Linked DNA regions of Macaca fascicularis. The protein of the gene in region 4 purifies or fractionates together with the protein of the main gene of each other region. This does not show direct contact. Links are inferred from orthologs where the notes say so. Each region holds a gene or a part of one and is shown on either strand. Other genes may lie near its edges.

What was found.
Region 1: the proteins of PRKAR2B (region 4) and PDE4DIPP2 purify together in Homo sapiens (affinity purification with mass spectrometry; 4 studies listed by BioGRID and IntAct, counting the BioPlex papers as one, with this or other methods). This does not show direct contact. The link is inferred for Macaca fascicularis from reciprocal best matches to the Homo sapiens genes PRKAR2B and PDE4DIP.
Region 2: the proteins of PRKAR2B (region 4) and AKAP1 purify together in Homo sapiens (affinity purification with mass spectrometry; 3 studies listed by BioGRID and IntAct, counting the BioPlex papers as one, with this or other methods). This does not show direct contact. The link is inferred for Macaca fascicularis from reciprocal best matches to the Homo sapiens genes PRKAR2B and AKAP1.
Region 3: the proteins of PRKAR2B (region 4) and CDK5RAP2 purify together in Homo sapiens (affinity purification with mass spectrometry; 3 studies listed by BioGRID and IntAct, counting the BioPlex papers as one, with this or other methods). This does not show direct contact. The link is inferred for Macaca fascicularis from reciprocal best matches to the Homo sapiens genes PRKAR2B and CDK5RAP2.

The regions. Positions count from the first base shown.
Region 1 is NC_088375.1:114,058,718-114,062,960, forward strand, and holds the start of PDE4DIPP2 (myomegalin), read right to left. Parts: upstream 2,841-4,243; 5' UTR 2,456-2,840; coding exon 1,331-2,455; intron 1-1,330. UniProt on the Homo sapiens protein: Functions as an anchor sequestering components of the cAMP-dependent pathway to Golgi and/or centrosomes.
Region 2 is NC_088390.1:49,631,684-49,635,895, forward strand, and holds the start of AKAP1 (A-kinase anchor protein 1, mitochondrial), read right to left. Parts: upstream 2,841-4,212; 5' UTR 2,790-2,840; intron 2,672-2,789; exon of another isoform or gene 2,550-2,671; intron 2,214-2,549; exon of another isoform or gene 1,891-2,213; intron 1,594-1,890; exon of another isoform or gene 1,429-1,593; intron 1-1,428.
Region 3 is NC_088389.1:37,410,320-37,414,661, reverse strand, and holds the start of CDK5RAP2 (CDK5 regulatory subunit-associated protein 2), read right to left. Parts: upstream 2,841-4,342; 5' UTR 2,652-2,840; coding exon 2,593-2,651; intron 1-2,592. UniProt on the Homo sapiens protein: Potential regulator of CDK5 activity via its interaction with CDK5R1. Negative regulator of centriole disengagement (licensing) which maintains centriole engagement and cohesion. Involved in regulation of mitotic spindle orientation.
Region 4 is NC_088377.1:148,683,641-148,687,200, reverse strand, and holds part of PRKAR2B (cAMP-dependent protein kinase type II-beta regulatory subunit), read right to left. Parts: intron 549-3,560; coding exon 447-548; intron 1-446. UniProt on the Homo sapiens protein: Regulatory subunit of the cAMP-dependent protein kinases involved in cAMP signaling in cells. Type II regulatory chains mediate membrane association by binding to anchoring proteins, including the MAP2 kinase.

The DNA.
Region 1 (4,243 bases), on a different chromosome or scaffold from region 4:
GTAAAGCCCAAATTCAGCTGAGGCTCCACTGAAAGGAAAAGCAAAAGAAAAGAAGTACATACATTTTATACAAATGAAAACGCACTGACTTTTTACCTTTCATGACACTTTCATCTCTGCTGTTTCTCATCTATGCTGCTACTCATAATTTTGTGTAAATTTAAAAACTTTTCTCCTGTTTTCTGCTTAGGTTCTTATGGTGAAAGAAAGTATACATACCACAGAACTACTTTCCAAAAGTTTCATGTGACCATCAACAATGTTACTTATCAAGCTCTAAATTTCTGGAATGATGTTGACCAGTAGCAGGCTTTCTAAAAATGCCTTCTAGATCACATCTACCTTTGTGACAGTATCGCTAAATAAGTTGTATCAAGTGGAACATGCCAGTATGTTTCACAAAGTTAACTGAACCTAGCATTTACTGTTGCTATAGAAACAAACTACCATAGCTGAATTTAAAAGGTTGGTATAGAATCAATTGGGCAGACATGAATGGTTCAAATTAAGCAACTGCCATCCTCTAGTCATTAAGAATTCAAGACTATAATGAATGAAACTCTCCTCTGATCCAATAATGGGTTAATCCTTTCTTAATATCAAATATCTTCCAGTAGAACTCAGCAGAGTTCTGGCTGTGAACAGTTTATGCCTTAACGTTTTGAGTGACAATACTGTACTTGAATACTTGAATTCCTGTCTCTTTTATGAATGAGTCATCACTAATCCTCAAATGAACTATTCATTATAATAAATATTGTCCAGATGTTATAATACTTTACTGGTGGATTAATAGGTTTCCCCCAAACCTTTTACCTTATGCTCTAATCATTTACAGGCATTTTGCGGATGAAAGCTTCAATGCTCTGGGAAGAACTAACTAGAGAACTAACTGCCTTACAGAAAGCCATTGGGAGGAAACGTCTATAAATCTGAAAACAAGAACAAATTTTAAAAGTTGTTAAAAAAAAAAAAAAAAAAAAAAGAAAGAAAAGGAGATAAGAGGAAAAGTTCTAGTGCCAGAAATGAGATTAAATGTCTTCTTTTTACAGGATAAAAGTGAAGTGGGAATCTTTACCTTTTTGTTTTAAAAGGTATACAATTTTGATAATGGGAAGGCCAACAGATTTTACAAAGACTGTGAAAAGCAAATTATCTGAGTACGAATCACGTTTACTAAATGAGACACAGAAAAGGTGCAGCAAAAATGGGCTCATGACTAATTTTCTCAAGTCTAGAATATTACTAACCTCCACCTAGACCGAAATCATGTGAAGCCAGAGGCCAGCTAGCTATAATCAGAAAGGCACTGTGTAGCCGTTTTGTATACCTGGACCCGGAGCGGCAAATAATCTTCACAGAGATCATCCCACAGCTCCTGCAGGTCTGAAAGCTCCAAGGGGTAACTCACAGGTGTCTTGTAAAGGGGTTTCAAAGACCTGTTAAGGAACCCGGAACTAACTCCATCTGTCATGCTATGGCCAGGCTTGGCTCCAGGTGGGCTGGATTTCACTGGAATCGGAAGCCTGCTCCCTCGGGGGCTCTGGATGGGCTTATAATCAAGACCTTTAATCATGCTAAGAGCTAACTCCAGCTTGTGATTACACCCATGCGGCGGAGCCTGATCATCTGAACAACAGTCACACTTTCCAAGTTCCTTTGCACTTCTCTCAGTCTCCTCATCTTTCTGTTGTGGAGGGCTAGCGTGGACGCTTGCATCCAAAGATTCCACAGAGGAACCCGGCGTCTCTTCCTCCATGCTTTCTCCATCTGGGGGTACCTTTGTGCTTGCTAAGTCGGGTGGCCCAACCTCAGACAACGCTGGTTCTTCAGTGCAAATGCTGGTCGACCACCTGCTAGAAGGGCCACAGGAGATACTTCTGGCCACCTTTCGAGGTACCTTACAAATGGCTTCATAGTCAGAATCAGCAACCCGCAAAGCTGCACAACCACGGCATCTCCTGGGTCGGTTTCCAGGGCCTTCCGAACCATGGCAACTGTGTGGCTCCTGGATCTGATCCTCATTCTCCACCCAGCACTCAAACCCTGAATAGGCGAAGTCCTCCTGGAGCAGTGCAGAGTATCTCGCATCAGGTAAGACAGACATGTCAACCGTCCCATTCCCCGCCTTGACCTCCGGGCCAGAGTCATCGTTATTCTTCCGATACATACTGGCAATGCAGAACTTGAGGCGATCTTTCTCCAGTAGCAGCTTTTGCAAGCGCTCAATAGAAAGAGCTTCGATCCGGGCAATAACCGTGTCGAATCGATAGATTCGATCAAGCATGAAAGCACACTTGCTGCAAGCGAACTCGGCTTTGCCATCGCGGGGGACATCCTTGCCCAGGACGTGCGAAAGCAGAACCTGGAGGTTCAGCTTGGACGCTGTGTGGAAGATCCAGCGCCGCTGGTTTCCACACAGCTCTCGGGCACAGATCCTGCAAATCTCCTTCATCTTCCCTCCTAGCGGGTGCCAAGCTTCCTGAGGCGGCGGCGGCGGCGGCTACTGGATGACCACTCAATGGCTCTTCGCCGCGCTCTGTCTCCCGCCTCAGTGGTCTCCAGTCAGCATGGCACAGCCCAGTGGGGTCCTCACTCTGCAGGGGTGCACCCCTACCCCGTGCGCCGGCTCCGGGTACCACAGCCGTCAGCCCCGCCCCTTGGGCAGGGGGCGGGCGTGGAAACGTCTAAGAGGATGCTGAGTGACAGAGGCGCAGGCCGCGCTCCGACCCTGCCATGTCTCTCCCCAGCTGTCTCTCCCGCCAGCCGCCGCGTCCTCAACGTCCTACCCTTTTAACAGACTGGGCTCCCGGAGCAGCAGCGGCCCGCCGCGCAGACTCAAAGGCTCGGGGATTGAGGATCAGATTTCAAGATGGCGCCAGCGGCTCCACGTCTGCGGCTTCCACAAGGCTCCTCTGGGAGCTGTAGTCCGGTCAGCGGGCTCCCGGCTCTGCGCATGCGGGGTGGCCAGCACGCCCCTCGCCCCCACTCCGGTTGCGCACCTGGCTCACTGGGAGTGCAGAGCAGAAAGCACTACTGGCGCGGACCACAGCCAGCCGCTTTTATCTGCTAAGAGCTCACCTGAAAGGCGCACCAGTGCCCTCAAGGATCCTCCCGCCTCTGCAGGATGTCCCGAGGCTCCTCCTCGCGGGGAGGAGAAGGCCGAATCCCCTCCCCCTGGATCCTCGGACAGTGCCACGTCCTCCGGCTGCCAGCCGGGCAGCGCCGCTAGGTACCGCTGCGCGCCGCCGCCGCCTCCAGCCAGCAGCCCCACCTCTCCCGGCCTCGCCCCGCCTGGGTTCTAAGGCCCTGAGACTGCGAGGCGGGCGGGGGAAGGCTTGGTAACGGAGGGGCGGGTGGGGCGGGGCCATGCAACCCTTACCTCGACTCTGAACCGGAATGTCCAGAAAAGAGTAGAGGACTGTTTCTTCCTTGATGTGGGTGGGGGAGGGTTAGCACCCTTGGGGGACTTTGCCCTACTTTCGGTAAAAAAGAGCACTGAGCAGTCACCTGAGAAAGCGTCCTGCAAATACAATGTGAATCTGGTTAACCAAGATCTTGAAGATAGTAGAAGGGAAATGTGCTTTTTCAAGGATGCAGCCAGCCGCGAGTAGATTACCGCCACTGAAGTCTCTCCCTCAGGTAGAGGGCATTCATTATTTTAGGGCAGGGGAGGGTAGACAAACACTAGCGCAAAAGACGGAGCTCCTTTCGGCAAGAGCTGGAGTGTCTGGGAATGCAGCTCGCGCCAGAAAGGACTGGGAACTTCGCTGACTTCGGTGAGAACCCTGTCTTACTCAGCACTGTACAGTGGTAGGTCCTCCACCCTTGGGTCTAAAACTTGGATTGCACACAAAGAGGAGGGAAGCTAGAGCCCTGACTAGGTGGGATGCAGGTACCTCCGGCCATTTTTTTTTTTGAGTGCAGTGGCGCGATCTCGGCTCACTGCAACCTTCGCCTCCCGGGCTCACGCCATTCTCCTGCCTCAGCCTCCCGAGCAGCTGGGACTACAGGCGCCCGCCACCACGCCCGGCTAATTTTTCATATTTTTTTAGTAGAGACGGGGTTTCACCGTGTTAGCTAGGATGGTCTTGATCTTCTGAGCTCCTGATCCGCCCGCCTGGGCCTCCCAAAGTGCTGGGATTACAGGCTTAAGCCACCGCGCCCTCCGGCCATTTTTAATAAAGAATTCTCTTCCTGACTTGAGAGGCATTCAGACACGGAACAAGAGGAACAACCGCAG
Region 2 (4,212 bases), on a different chromosome or scaffold from region 4:
CAGACCAAGCTACAGAGAGGCCCAGTCATTCTAGACTCACAGGTAAGATTTAGGAAAGAGGGACCTAGGGGAACTCTATGGTCAGCTCTCTGGGTACATTGGCTACAAGCTGCCTGATCTTCAAAGCCCTGAAACGCACACACAATCAAGTCATGTTGCAGGCTGGGACCAGGAGGCTAGCCAGCAAAGCTTAGGGAAACCAATTTGTTTTTCCTCCCAAACAAGCTTCTGGGTCAGAGGCTAAGGAGAGGGGTGCTTTTAATAGAATTCAAGTCACTCAAGTAATTCAAGAGAAACAAAGTCAGTCTCAGGGCTTGTTTAGGGAGGAGAGGGGAAGAGCAATGCTTAAGCACCTATCACAGTCCCCAGTATCACAAATATGATCTCCATTTGTCTTTAGGACAGGAAAAGGGAATACTGTAGAGGCTAACACCAGCCTTCCCCTAAAATATGGCTGCAACCCAGCCTATGTCCAAAGCTCAAGAATAATTTGGGTTACCAGGTAGCAAGATAAATTGCTTTTAAATATTGATGTTCAGCAACCTTACAGTGGAGACATACCGACTTCAGCACCTCAGCAGGCCACTTACAACAGACACCTCCACTGTCACCCTGCAGTGGCCAAGTGAGAATGCATTTCCTAGAAACAGCTGAGAGATGGGAGATATTCCTACAAGGAACCCCACCTAGACGCAAATCCATTAGACCTATCTCACTCACTGGCTATGACCTGCAAGTTCTGAGGCACCATCTAACAACATGCATGAAGACAGAGCCTATTTAATTCAGTAACAGACTCGAGCTTTAGTGATTTGCATACCTGTAGGATGCAGGGGACCTCCTCTAACCTAGGGCCATATTTCAAAGAGAATACACCCAGGAATGATTATGCAGAACCTACAAAACTAGTTAGAGGTTAAAGAAGAAAGGTTCAACACAAGTCAAAAGGCTCCCAAAACAAAACTTCACTTGCTTCCAGTGCTCAGGGTCTTAAATAATCAGCAGGTGAACCACTTGAATGCCAAGAACAGAGGAATCATATAAATGATCAAGTCAGGCAGCCCTCTTCATTTCAAAGATGTTCTGTACCTTTAAGAGCAAAGTGGATGGGTGGTGCTAAGAGTCCAAGCTTTGCTTTCTAAATAAAGAGTTTTTTTTTTAAAAAAAGGGTACTAATTTGGGAAGGACTTAGCAGTTACATGAGCATGTAAGGTTACTAGTTGCCAGAATTAATAGCTTTTTGTGAACGGTGTTCCTTGATCAGTAACTAACAGATACTGTTGCACCAGGTCCAGCAGCCTAGATTTCACTGGAGACAAATTTAAACACTAAGTAACGCGCACTACAGTACGAGAAAGATACCCAGGTTAACCTCACTAATTGCCCTGCGCATACACCCTAGCCAGCTTGAGAGGCCTCGACAAGCACCTGGAGCGAAGTCCACCGGGTTTGTGTTAACCGCGGCAGGAAGGTGCCGTCACCCAGGACATCCCCCGGGAGAGGAAGATCCCGAAACGCCCAGGGCTCCCATGCCGTTCCGAGTCGCCACAGCAGGGCCCACCACGATCAGCACCTTTCTTCTCCTATCCCTCCCTGGAAGGGAAACAAGAAGACCTTCAGCTAGGGCACAAAAGAGTTGAACGCCAGAAAGCCCGCGTTCGAGGCGTCCAGCCACTGTCTCTCCTAGCACATCGTAACCCCGAAACCCGCACGGTCCCTCCAGATCGCGGACCCGGGGCGCTGGGCCGCAGGCGGCTCCGGACACGTGACCCTCGGCGTCCCCGGGCCTGAGGTCGGCAGACACCCCAGGTTGGACGGCCTCTGTCCCTCCGGACACGCCTGCGGGGGCTACGAATGCAAATCCCCCCGAGACGCCCCTGAGCCTCCAACCTCCAGACCCCAACTCGATTCGAACGGTCCCTCAGCCCGAAACACGGTTGGATCACAACCGGCGGATGTCCCGGCCCATATTCCCGGTTCCCCTGGCTCGCCGCACGGAACTCCCAGGGGCGAGCCGAGGGTGAGAAGTTGGGTGAGGCTCCATAAGTGAAGGGGTAGCTCCGGCTCAGACTGTGTACACACGACCTTTGAAAAGTAAACGCCCGCGGGGCTGGGCGACCTTGGGTGGGACGCGCTCGGGTCAGCCTGGCAGGCGGGTGTGCGCGCTCCGGTAAAGTTGAGGCGCAGAGAGGCGACCCGGGCGCCGCGCCCTCGCCCCCCGCCCCCGAGGACAGTGACGCGCGTGGGGAGGACGGCGCGGCCGCAGAGCGCCGCCCAGAACCGCGCACACGCGATCTGTCAGGAGCCCGCCGGCAGACAACCGGCGGGGGAGGAGGAGAGGGAGCGCAGGCGAGGGAGGGAAAGATGGGCCTGACAGCGCGCGGCGGCCAAGAGCCCCCAGGACACCTCTGCGTCCGGAGCGTCCCACCCCCGGGGTACCTGGAGCGCGCGTCGCATCCTGCACCTGCACCTCAGGCTCCCCATCGCCCTGACCCCGACGCCTTCGGGGCTCCGGCAGGGGGTCCCCGGCGCAGCCGCCCCCGACCTACCAGCTCCTCGGCGACCGTCGGGGTGCGGGGTGCGGAGTCCGCACGCCGCCGCCGGCCCCCGGCTGTGCCCCGTGGCCCGGCCCGCAACGCCACTCTTCCGCAGCTCCCCCACGTGCTCGCCCAGGCCGGTGGAACACAGAGACATTAAATACTGGAGACTCGCGGCGACGTGCCCGCAGCGCGACGCAGGTCCCGCCCCTCGCCCTCGTGCCCCCGCGCTCCCGAGCCCGCCCCGCTCACCTGCGCGTGCGCGCCGCCGGCAGCTCGCGGCAGTGCCTCCGCCGCGCCTCTGCCAGCTGCGCCAGAGGGGGCGCGGTCTAAAGCGCTGGGCTAACATCCAGCCGCCGCCCCGAGCCGGGTCTTGCTCGAGCTCTCGCGAGAGGAGCCGTCATCTCGTCGGTGCCCGGCGGAGGGGCCGGGCGGGACGGTACAGAACTCGGAGGACCATTGATGCCCTGCCCCGCCAGCCCAGCACCGGTTCTGCCGCCTTAGCTCGAAGGGTCAGCCAGGCCATCTCCTGCCTCGGGACGGAGAGCGCCCTGGAAAAGGCAGAGGGGCCGGTGAGGAGCAGGGCTTCACTCGCTTCAGGGCTTTGAGCTTCCCTGTGACCGTCATTTCCTTGTAACGTATAATTGAGTTGGCCATTAACAATTGCTCAGTTAGCTGCGTAATGGTGAAACCTGGTACCCCTCAAATGCAACTTTCTTGCCCGTTTTTACAACTTGATGTCATCGAAATGAAACACTTCTCTGAATTGGTTTGGGTTGTGGAATGATTCTTGCAGAGATAGTCACGGTGAGTCACTATCTCTGCCAGGAACTTGGGAAAATAAATTCCCCCAAAATAAATGGAGACGGTAGGGTTTTGACTGGTCAGCCCTGCTCTCATCCTTAAAACAAAGTGACTTTAAATGAGCATTTATTTGGCCAAAATATAGAAAATAGATAATGCTAAGAACTAACAATTACTTGGGAATATGCTTAATCTTCACTAGTGATCAAATGCAAATTTAAATGACAGATGCCATTTACTATAATGAGATTTAAGTCAAATTCATTTATATATGAATCCCAATTGCATGGTGTGGTAGATGTCAGGAAAGAAACAAATAGGAAACTGACATAGGAAAGAAAGAAAAAGAGCCCTGTTTTAGGTCCTGTGGTCAGAAAAGGCCTAAAGTGAAATTTAAACTGAGACCTATTGGATGAGAAGGAACCAGCCTTGCAAATTGTATATGGGCATAAGGGTTGGAGGAGTATTCCTAGCAGATGCATAACACAGGAAAAGTAGGAAGCAACTTCTGTTAAACTGGAAGACCAGTGTGGATGGTATGTATTGACGGAGGCAGTGTCAGGAAAGGAGATAAAGAGGATCGTTTCTTGTCTTTGTTTTTTGGGGGAATAGGGGCCTGGGCTGCCTTAGTAAATACTTAGTATTTGCCACAGTAAATAGTGAAGCTTGGATTTTATTCTACTCTTAGTCCCAAAGCCAGTCATGACTCTACCTCAGGGCCTCCCTCCACATGGAATATTCTGCAAAGCTCACTCTCTCACCTCTTTCAAGTCCTTTGCTCAAAGGTCAGCTACTCAGACTCAGTGAAGTCTCCCCTGGACTCTCTGTTTTATTTTATTTTATTTTTTATTTTTTGAGGAGTCTCTGTCAC
Region 3 (4,342 bases), on a different chromosome or scaffold from region 4:
TCCACTGCATTCCAGCCTGGGCAACAGAGCAAGACCCTGTCTTAGGAAAAAAAAAAAAAATCATAGAGACAGAAAGTAGACTGGTGATTGTCAGAGGCTGGAAGAAGAGGGGAATAGGGAGTTACTGTTTTAACAGGGACAGAGTTTCTGTTTTGCATTTGCAAGATGGAGAGTTACAAAGATAGATAGTGGTGACAGTTCAGCAATAACACAAATAGATTTAATACAATTGAACCATGCTTTAAAATGGTTAAGATGGAATGTATGCAGTATCTAGGTCCTGCAAAGGAGGGAGATGAGGGAAAGGAGAATGTTTGCTGTTCTGTTGAGTAGTTACTCCAGGTCAGACACTGAACTAAACTTTTTAAGATTCATTTTAATCCTTATGCCAACCCTAGGCTTTACACCAACCCCTTTTACAGATGATAAACACTGAGGCTCACGGAGGATGAGTGACTTGCCCCAAATCAAGGGGTTGTTAAGTAGCAGAACTGGGATTGAAACCCAGCTGGGCCTGGGACCCCAAAACCCAAGTGTTTGGCCAACAAGCACTGAAATGAGAATGGCTATCTGAGAGAATAATAATGGAAGTTATGGTAACAGCAATAAGCAGCATTAAAAGTATAAAGCAGCAGACTGTGAAGAGCAGATTTATATTTTAAAAATAGTTCTCAGGCTGGGCATGGTGGCTCACACCTATAATCTCAGCACTTTGGGAGGCCAAGGTGGGCAGATCACGAGATAAGGAGATGGAGACCGTCCTGGCCAACATGGTGAAACCCCGTCTCTACTAAACATACAAAAATTAGCCAGGCATGGTGGTGCACTCCTGTAATCCCAGCTATAGGGGAGGCTGAGGCAAGAGAATTGCTTGAACCCGGGAGGCAGAGGTTGCAGTGAGTCGAGATCGCGCCACTGCACTCCAGCCTGGTGATAGAGCAAGACTCAAATAAATAAATAAATAAATAATAGTTTTCAAACTGTAGTATAAAAAACTATTAGAGGTGCAAAGGACAATACAGGAGAGAAGCCATACTCCAAATATATTGGGGCAGTGGAAGTAAAACAGACAGAAAAGGGCATGATGAAATATCACAGGACCCAATTAGACAGGAACTGCAAAGCATCTTAATCTGTGCCTGATACATGAAGGTTCTCAATAAACAGAAAAACCATTTGTCCAAGTTTACCCAAGATAGGCCCTATGTATGTCTGCTGCCCGGGCATAAATATTAATTATTTTCACTTTTTTTTTTTTTTAAGACAGAGCCTCACTTTGTCACCCAGGCTACAGTGCAGTGGCATGAACACAGCTCACTGCAGCATCAACCTTCCGGGCTCAAGCAATCCTCCTGCCTCAGCCTCCCGAGCGGCTGAGACTACAAGTGCATGCCACCATGCCTGGCTAATTTTTGTATTTTTTGTAGAGATAGGATTTCACCATGTTTCCCAGGCTGATCTCACACTCCTGAGCTCAAGAAATCGGCCCACCTCAGCCTCCCCAAGGACTGGGATTACAGGGGTGAGCCACCGCGCCTGGCCCTTTTCACTCTTAAGTGTCCCAGTTAGCACAATAAATACCATGGTTACCCTTTCAATTAGGATCTGTTGACTAAAAGCAGCAGCTTGTCCCTAGTAGAGCTGGATAAACAGTGCAGGTTCTCAGTCAGGGCTCTCCTCTTCCTTCTTCTACTCACTCTCCAACCAGGAGTCCAGGACAACCACAGGGGCCAGCCCTGAAGCAGTGTAGTGCTCTATTAGGCCTTCCTACCAGACTCCAGCTCAACCAGCAATGGGGACTCCCAGTCTCTTGGGGCAGGTCCATGGGAGGCCACTCTTGGCCATTATTCCCTGATTCATATCACCTTTGATGACAGTAGTAATAATAACACTAATGGCAACACAAGATCATTTTTTAAGTACTGATTATGTGGCAGGCACTACAGGTGCCAAGCTAATGGCTCGACAGGCATCACCTCTTTTAATCCTCACCCCAACTCTATTGGGTAGATATTACTAGCCCATTTTACAGATGGGAAAGCCAGTGAAATCACTTTACCAAGGTCACACAGCTAGTCAGTTTACAGGGCTGGATTTGAATCCAGTTTTGTCCAACTCCAGCCACGGCTCTTAACCATGGCACTCCATTGCCTCCTGGGTGGCCACTATCTGACCCAAAAAGCAAAGTCTGGGCATATCGGCTACACTCTCCATAATGAAAACAAACCCTCAAACCAGAGTGAACCATCAGGTGCCCTCAAGGTCCCTGTTCCGCACCAATCCCCACTAACGGGATACTCCAAGTGGCCCCACCCTGGTCCTACTCTTTCACAAAACCGCTTACTTGTTCTTCAAGCCCTCTACAAAGTACGTGGTGCAATGCTACAGGCAACTGTGGTGCAGATCGTGGCTCCCAGCCCCCCAAAGTGTCAGCTGGTGGGCCCCCCAGAGACCCTCTCCGAAGGAGCCCACCCCACACACTTGCCCCTGGCCAGACACCCTCAAAAGCAAACCTCAAGGCCGCGTTAGCGTGAAACCCCATCAGCTGGAACCCCGGCCCGGTTACCAAGACCACCAATGCCCCGGCCGCACCTGCAGCCGCTGAGCGTCCCAAGGAGGGTGACGTCCTCTTCCAACACCGAGTCCATCATGGATACAGAGGTGGTGGCGGTGTTGGTGTCAGTGGCGGCGGCGCCACTAGTACCCCCCGCGGTAGCGACCCGCCGAGCTCCCAGGGTCCCCGCCCCCTCCACCCCAGCGCTTGTTCAGACTCTGGCGGCGCCGCTGGAATTCAAACCACAGACGCCGCCATCTTTCCCGGCGCTTCTTCCTACGGAAACGAGGCGGGGTCACCGAGGCGCACGCAGTGAAGCCGACCGGCTGGCGCCAGAGGACGGGCAGGGAAGCGGGGGTAGGTGCCATCTTAACTAAGGGCACAGCGTCCGTGTTTTTGCCAGCAAAACTAAGAGAAAAAAAAGGCCGGCTGTCATTTTTTGTGAGGGCACTTAAGACGAGGCGAGGGCGGGTGCCATCTTTGTTGAGGGCCAAAGCCGGCCCTAGTCCGTTAATTTACGCGGGAGATGGGAATGAATACAGCCCCTTAGGCATCCTCAAATTTCCTAACCTCGTGTTTGCTTTTCTGGAATAGTGACCCCAAAACTGGGATTTGACCTTGAGTTGAAACTCAGATAACTGAGTGCTGCCTTGCTTCAGAAAAATCCTACATGCGGAATCTCAAGGCAAACAGTAATTTGCAGACTTAGTTTGAAGCAAATAACTTACTCCCATGAGTCAGTGGTCAACAGCACTCTCACTCCAGTCACTCACCTATTGATCTTTTATTACTATTAGGACTCAAAAGGCACTTGTGGTCAGAAAACTGAGGCCCAGCGAGAGGAAATGACTCTCCCAAAGTAATTAAGTATTGACAATGTCTTTCAACTGGAGCGGGGTCTGCAGCTCCTGCCAACTAGATGAGGGCCCTCTGCATAACCCTGACTGCCTTTCATTTTTGTCTTTTTTTTTTTTTTCTTTTTGAGACGGCGCCTCACTCTGTCGCCAGGCTGGAGTGCGGTGGCGCGATCTCAGCTCACTGCAACCTCCATCTCCACCTTCACCTCCCGGGTTTAAGCGATTCTCCTGCCTCAGCCTCCCAAGTAGCTGAGATTACAGGCGCAGCGCCACCACGCCCAGGTAATTTTTGTATCTTTAGTAGAGACCATGTAGATTCACCATGTTGGCCAGGATGGTCTCGATCTTTTGACCTCGTGGTCTGCCCGCTTCAGCCTCCCAAAGTGCTGGAATTACAGGCATGAGCCACAGCACCCGGCCCCTTGGCCGCCTTTCTTAAAGCACATAGCAATCACCAAACACTTAGATAATCTTGGCAGAGCTTAAGCAATGAAATCAACCTTCCCCTCCTCAACTCAGTGTTGCTCCTTCCTCTGCAGGTGCTTGTGAGAGCACCGGATGAAAATAACTTGAAACCATTGGTGAGTGGATAGATAGTGACTTCCCCAGTAATCTTGAACAATTCCCGTTTCACCCTCAGTTTCCTCATTCTTTTTTTTTTTTTTTTTTAATAGAGACAGGGTCTCACTATGTTGCCTAGACTGGTCTTGAACTCCTGGCCTCAAGCAATACTCCCACTTGGCCTCCCAAAGTGCTGGGGTTATAGGCCTGAGCCACTGCACCAGGCCCTCATTCTTCAATTACATCATTAAGCAATTATTGATACTTTTCAAAAGAAGCCTTCCCTAATCATTTAATCTAAATCAAGCCACTTCTTGTATTCCTAGCAATGCAAATTATTCCTTTGTGGCACTTACCATATTTTGCAATT
Region 4 (3,560 bases):
AGAGGCCAAGGACAGAGGCCTGGAATGCCAGTTTTAAGAGGAGAAGAAAAGAGGAATAAACAGCAAAGATGACTGAGAGGAAGAGGCCAGAGAGGACATCTTCTATCTAGAGAACGCCTCCCTGTAAAGTTACAACTAGTGGCTCTTGCCTACATCTATGTGATTGTATGACGTCTGCTATTAGATAAAGACCACATATACATGTGCTATAGATGCGGGGTAGGAATGCAATTATACAAAACAACTTTCAAATAACAAAACAAATGCAATTATAGATAGCAGAAGAAACAATGAGTTATAAAAACTAGCATTACCACTTAATCTCTTCAAATAAAAACATGGATAAATTTTTTTTATTCAAGGAAATTTTTCTATAGAACTAAATATTCCTAGCAAAACAGAAACTTTTAAAGCAAAATAAAATAAAAGTATAAACATGCACTTACCTCCAAAGATTTAAGGAATGGCAGTGACTCAATAAAGCTTTCATACATTTTTCTCTTTTTGGCATTGTTTTTCACAATTATTCTCCTGAAGGTTACCCTGTCCTAAAGGCAGAATATCAAATAAAAGACAGTTAAAAGGTAAATTTTATGGGGGAAAAGCTATACAAATAGTTTTATTTTATTCCCTACAAGAAGCAATGATTGAAGATTCTGAAATAAAAGATTAACATCAGTATATTTTTAATGCAACTCATTTCATATTTTTATTTCATCAAGCACAAAATATAATACAGAACCCCATAAAATACTGTTTTCTTTTTTTTTTTTTAAGGAAGTATGTTTACTTTCATACATAACAGAAATCTGACCAACATGTTGGGCTCTGCCCACAAGGAGGCGCTATCACAGCATTTTTTAAAATATATGGTAGCACTGTGTTCTTTTACTCTGTGTTATGTACTCTATGTTTTTTCATATCCACATTATGTCAAAATTTTCTTTTTAAAAATGTGGAGATATGCCCAAAGAAATGATAAATGCTTAAAGTGATGGCTACTCCATTTACCCTGATGTCATCATTATGCATTGTATGCTGTTATCAAAATAGCTTATGTACCCTGTACATATATACACATACTATGTACCCATAAAAAATTTTTTTTAATGTGGAGGCACAGAGAAATTACAACTATGTTTTTGAGTAAGATCTAATTCCAGTGTTTACCATGTTCACAGTCTAAAATGTTCCTGTTTATGTTTATACTACATGCCCTCAAAAATGCAGAACTCGGTTGAAGAACTAGTAAAAATTTTAAGGATACAGCTCAAAAAATTATTTTCCTAAAAATTTTATTTTAAATAATCTCTCATATTTTAATTCTTTAATAAAAGCCTCAATAATTATGTTAGCTTGGCATTCATTAATAAACAATTATACCATTTTAATAAAGTAAAAATTGGGATATATTATTTAATAAATTACTATGCAAACAATTTAATATTTTTTACTTTTATTTTTAATTTTTGTGGGTATATAGTAGGTGTATATTTATGGGGTACATGAGATATTTTGATACAGGCATGCAACGTGAAATACGCACATCATAGAGAATGGGGTATCCGACCCCTCAAGCATTTATCCTTTGAGTTACAAACAATCCAATTACACTTATTTTAAAATTATACAATTTTATTATGTGCTACCAAATACTAGGTCTTATTCATTCTTTCTTATGCCACCATAGTAAGGCTGAATTTAAACGAACTAGTGCAATAGAGAAAAAGGCCAGTATAGATGAAAGTCTCTAGGTGCGATGGGCTGCAACTCAATGTTTCTATCATTCTAAAATCCCTCTGTTGAAATCCTGATCACCCAGGATAGTATTAGGTGGTGGAGTCTTTGGGAGATGGTTAGGTCATGAGGGTGGAGCATTCATGAATCGGATTAATGTCCTTATAAAAGAGATTCTAATGAGCTCCCTTGCCCCTTCCACCACGTGAGAACACAAGTAGAGGACGTTGTCTGTTAAACAGGAAAACAAGCCCTCCCCAGACCCGAATCTTCTGGTGCCTTGATCTTGGACTTCCCAGTGTCCAGACGATGAGAAATAAATGTTTGTTGCTTAAGCCTCCCATTCTGTAACAGTTTGTCACAGCGGCCCAAAAGGACTAGGACACTAGTAAATTAAACATCTTGTTTCCCAATTTGGTATTGGCTGTAATTTGGACTTGTTTTACTCCTAATACTTCTTTTAAAAGAAAATTTTACGATAATTAGCACAAATATTGAAATTATTTCCAAGCCTAGCTCTGCATCAGAATAAGCTAGAGTACTAAAAAGGATTTCTGAGACACCAGACTTGAATGACTCAAGATCTCTGCATGTAGGGCTCAATAATGTGTATTTCATAAATGCTCCCAAAGTGATTCTGATACATAATCAGGTTTGGAAATCAGGTATAACACCATTTTTATGGACAGAGTTTATTGCAAAACAGAGAAGACTCAAAATAGCTTAATGGTTTAGAAACTAATCATAATCAGTTATCTCTCTCAGAAAGAATTTACCATTAGTAACGTATCTCTTCACACCCAGTGTGACATATAAAGTCCAGAATTTCAAATACTTTCATCCTGAAGCCATTTCAACAATCCCCCTTCCAAATCATCAGTACAGTCACATAGATCATGTTACCCCTAAGGCTAACAGTGACCAAATATTATTTACAGAGTGAGGCTATACTGCAATGCTTTTCTCTTGGGCTTTTTTTTGCTTATCTTTACACTTACATTTATAAGGCAGACCTCCAGTCTGTTGACCTTAAAAGAAAAATTTCTTTTCTACTCGACTCTCCCTGAGAAGGAGTTATTATAGTCAAGTCGCCCTTAAAAAGCAGGCTTGAAATACTAAGCAATTATGTTAATTATCCTAACATTTTTAGAAAGCTATTATACATCAGGAGGATCATGACAAACTGCCCACTTTTATAAAATTTAGTAACATGTATAGACAACTAAAAATCTCTGAAAATGCTTAATCCTTCTTAGGAACTTAAGTAGTACGTGGACTAGGAAATTCTGGGTCTTTTATACCCAATTAAGGTTTCTACAAGGGGTAAAAACTATCAGTATTCAAAAAGGCCAACCTATAAAATCATTGATCTTATTCTGAAGATGTGCAAGGAGGCAATTTCCTCACTGTGTGACAATCTGAATCTGAATGGCAACCCCACTGGAATGACTACATTTGAAAAGTAAACCTTCCTCAATAAAACAGGTCATGGCAGATGCTAGATTTATCCCACCGCTTTAATGACAGGCAAACAAACACTTCTGTGGGTGAAGGACTGTTCTGGTTTGGAGTTTTTTCTTTGCTGGTTCTGGGTATTCAAATCGCTGACAGTTCTTAAAACACTTCAGATGATGAGTTTCCTTCTCCCTGAGACAACTCAGCTTTTCTTCTAAACCTTAAAAAAGTGACTCATCACATTTTTAAATAAGTATATAATAACTGGTTCTAATTAAAAGAAATGTAAAATGTCTTGTCTCTTTGATCAAGAGATATTTTTATCAGCTGAATCGACTTCAGAGTCAAATGCTGAACTGTGACTAAAT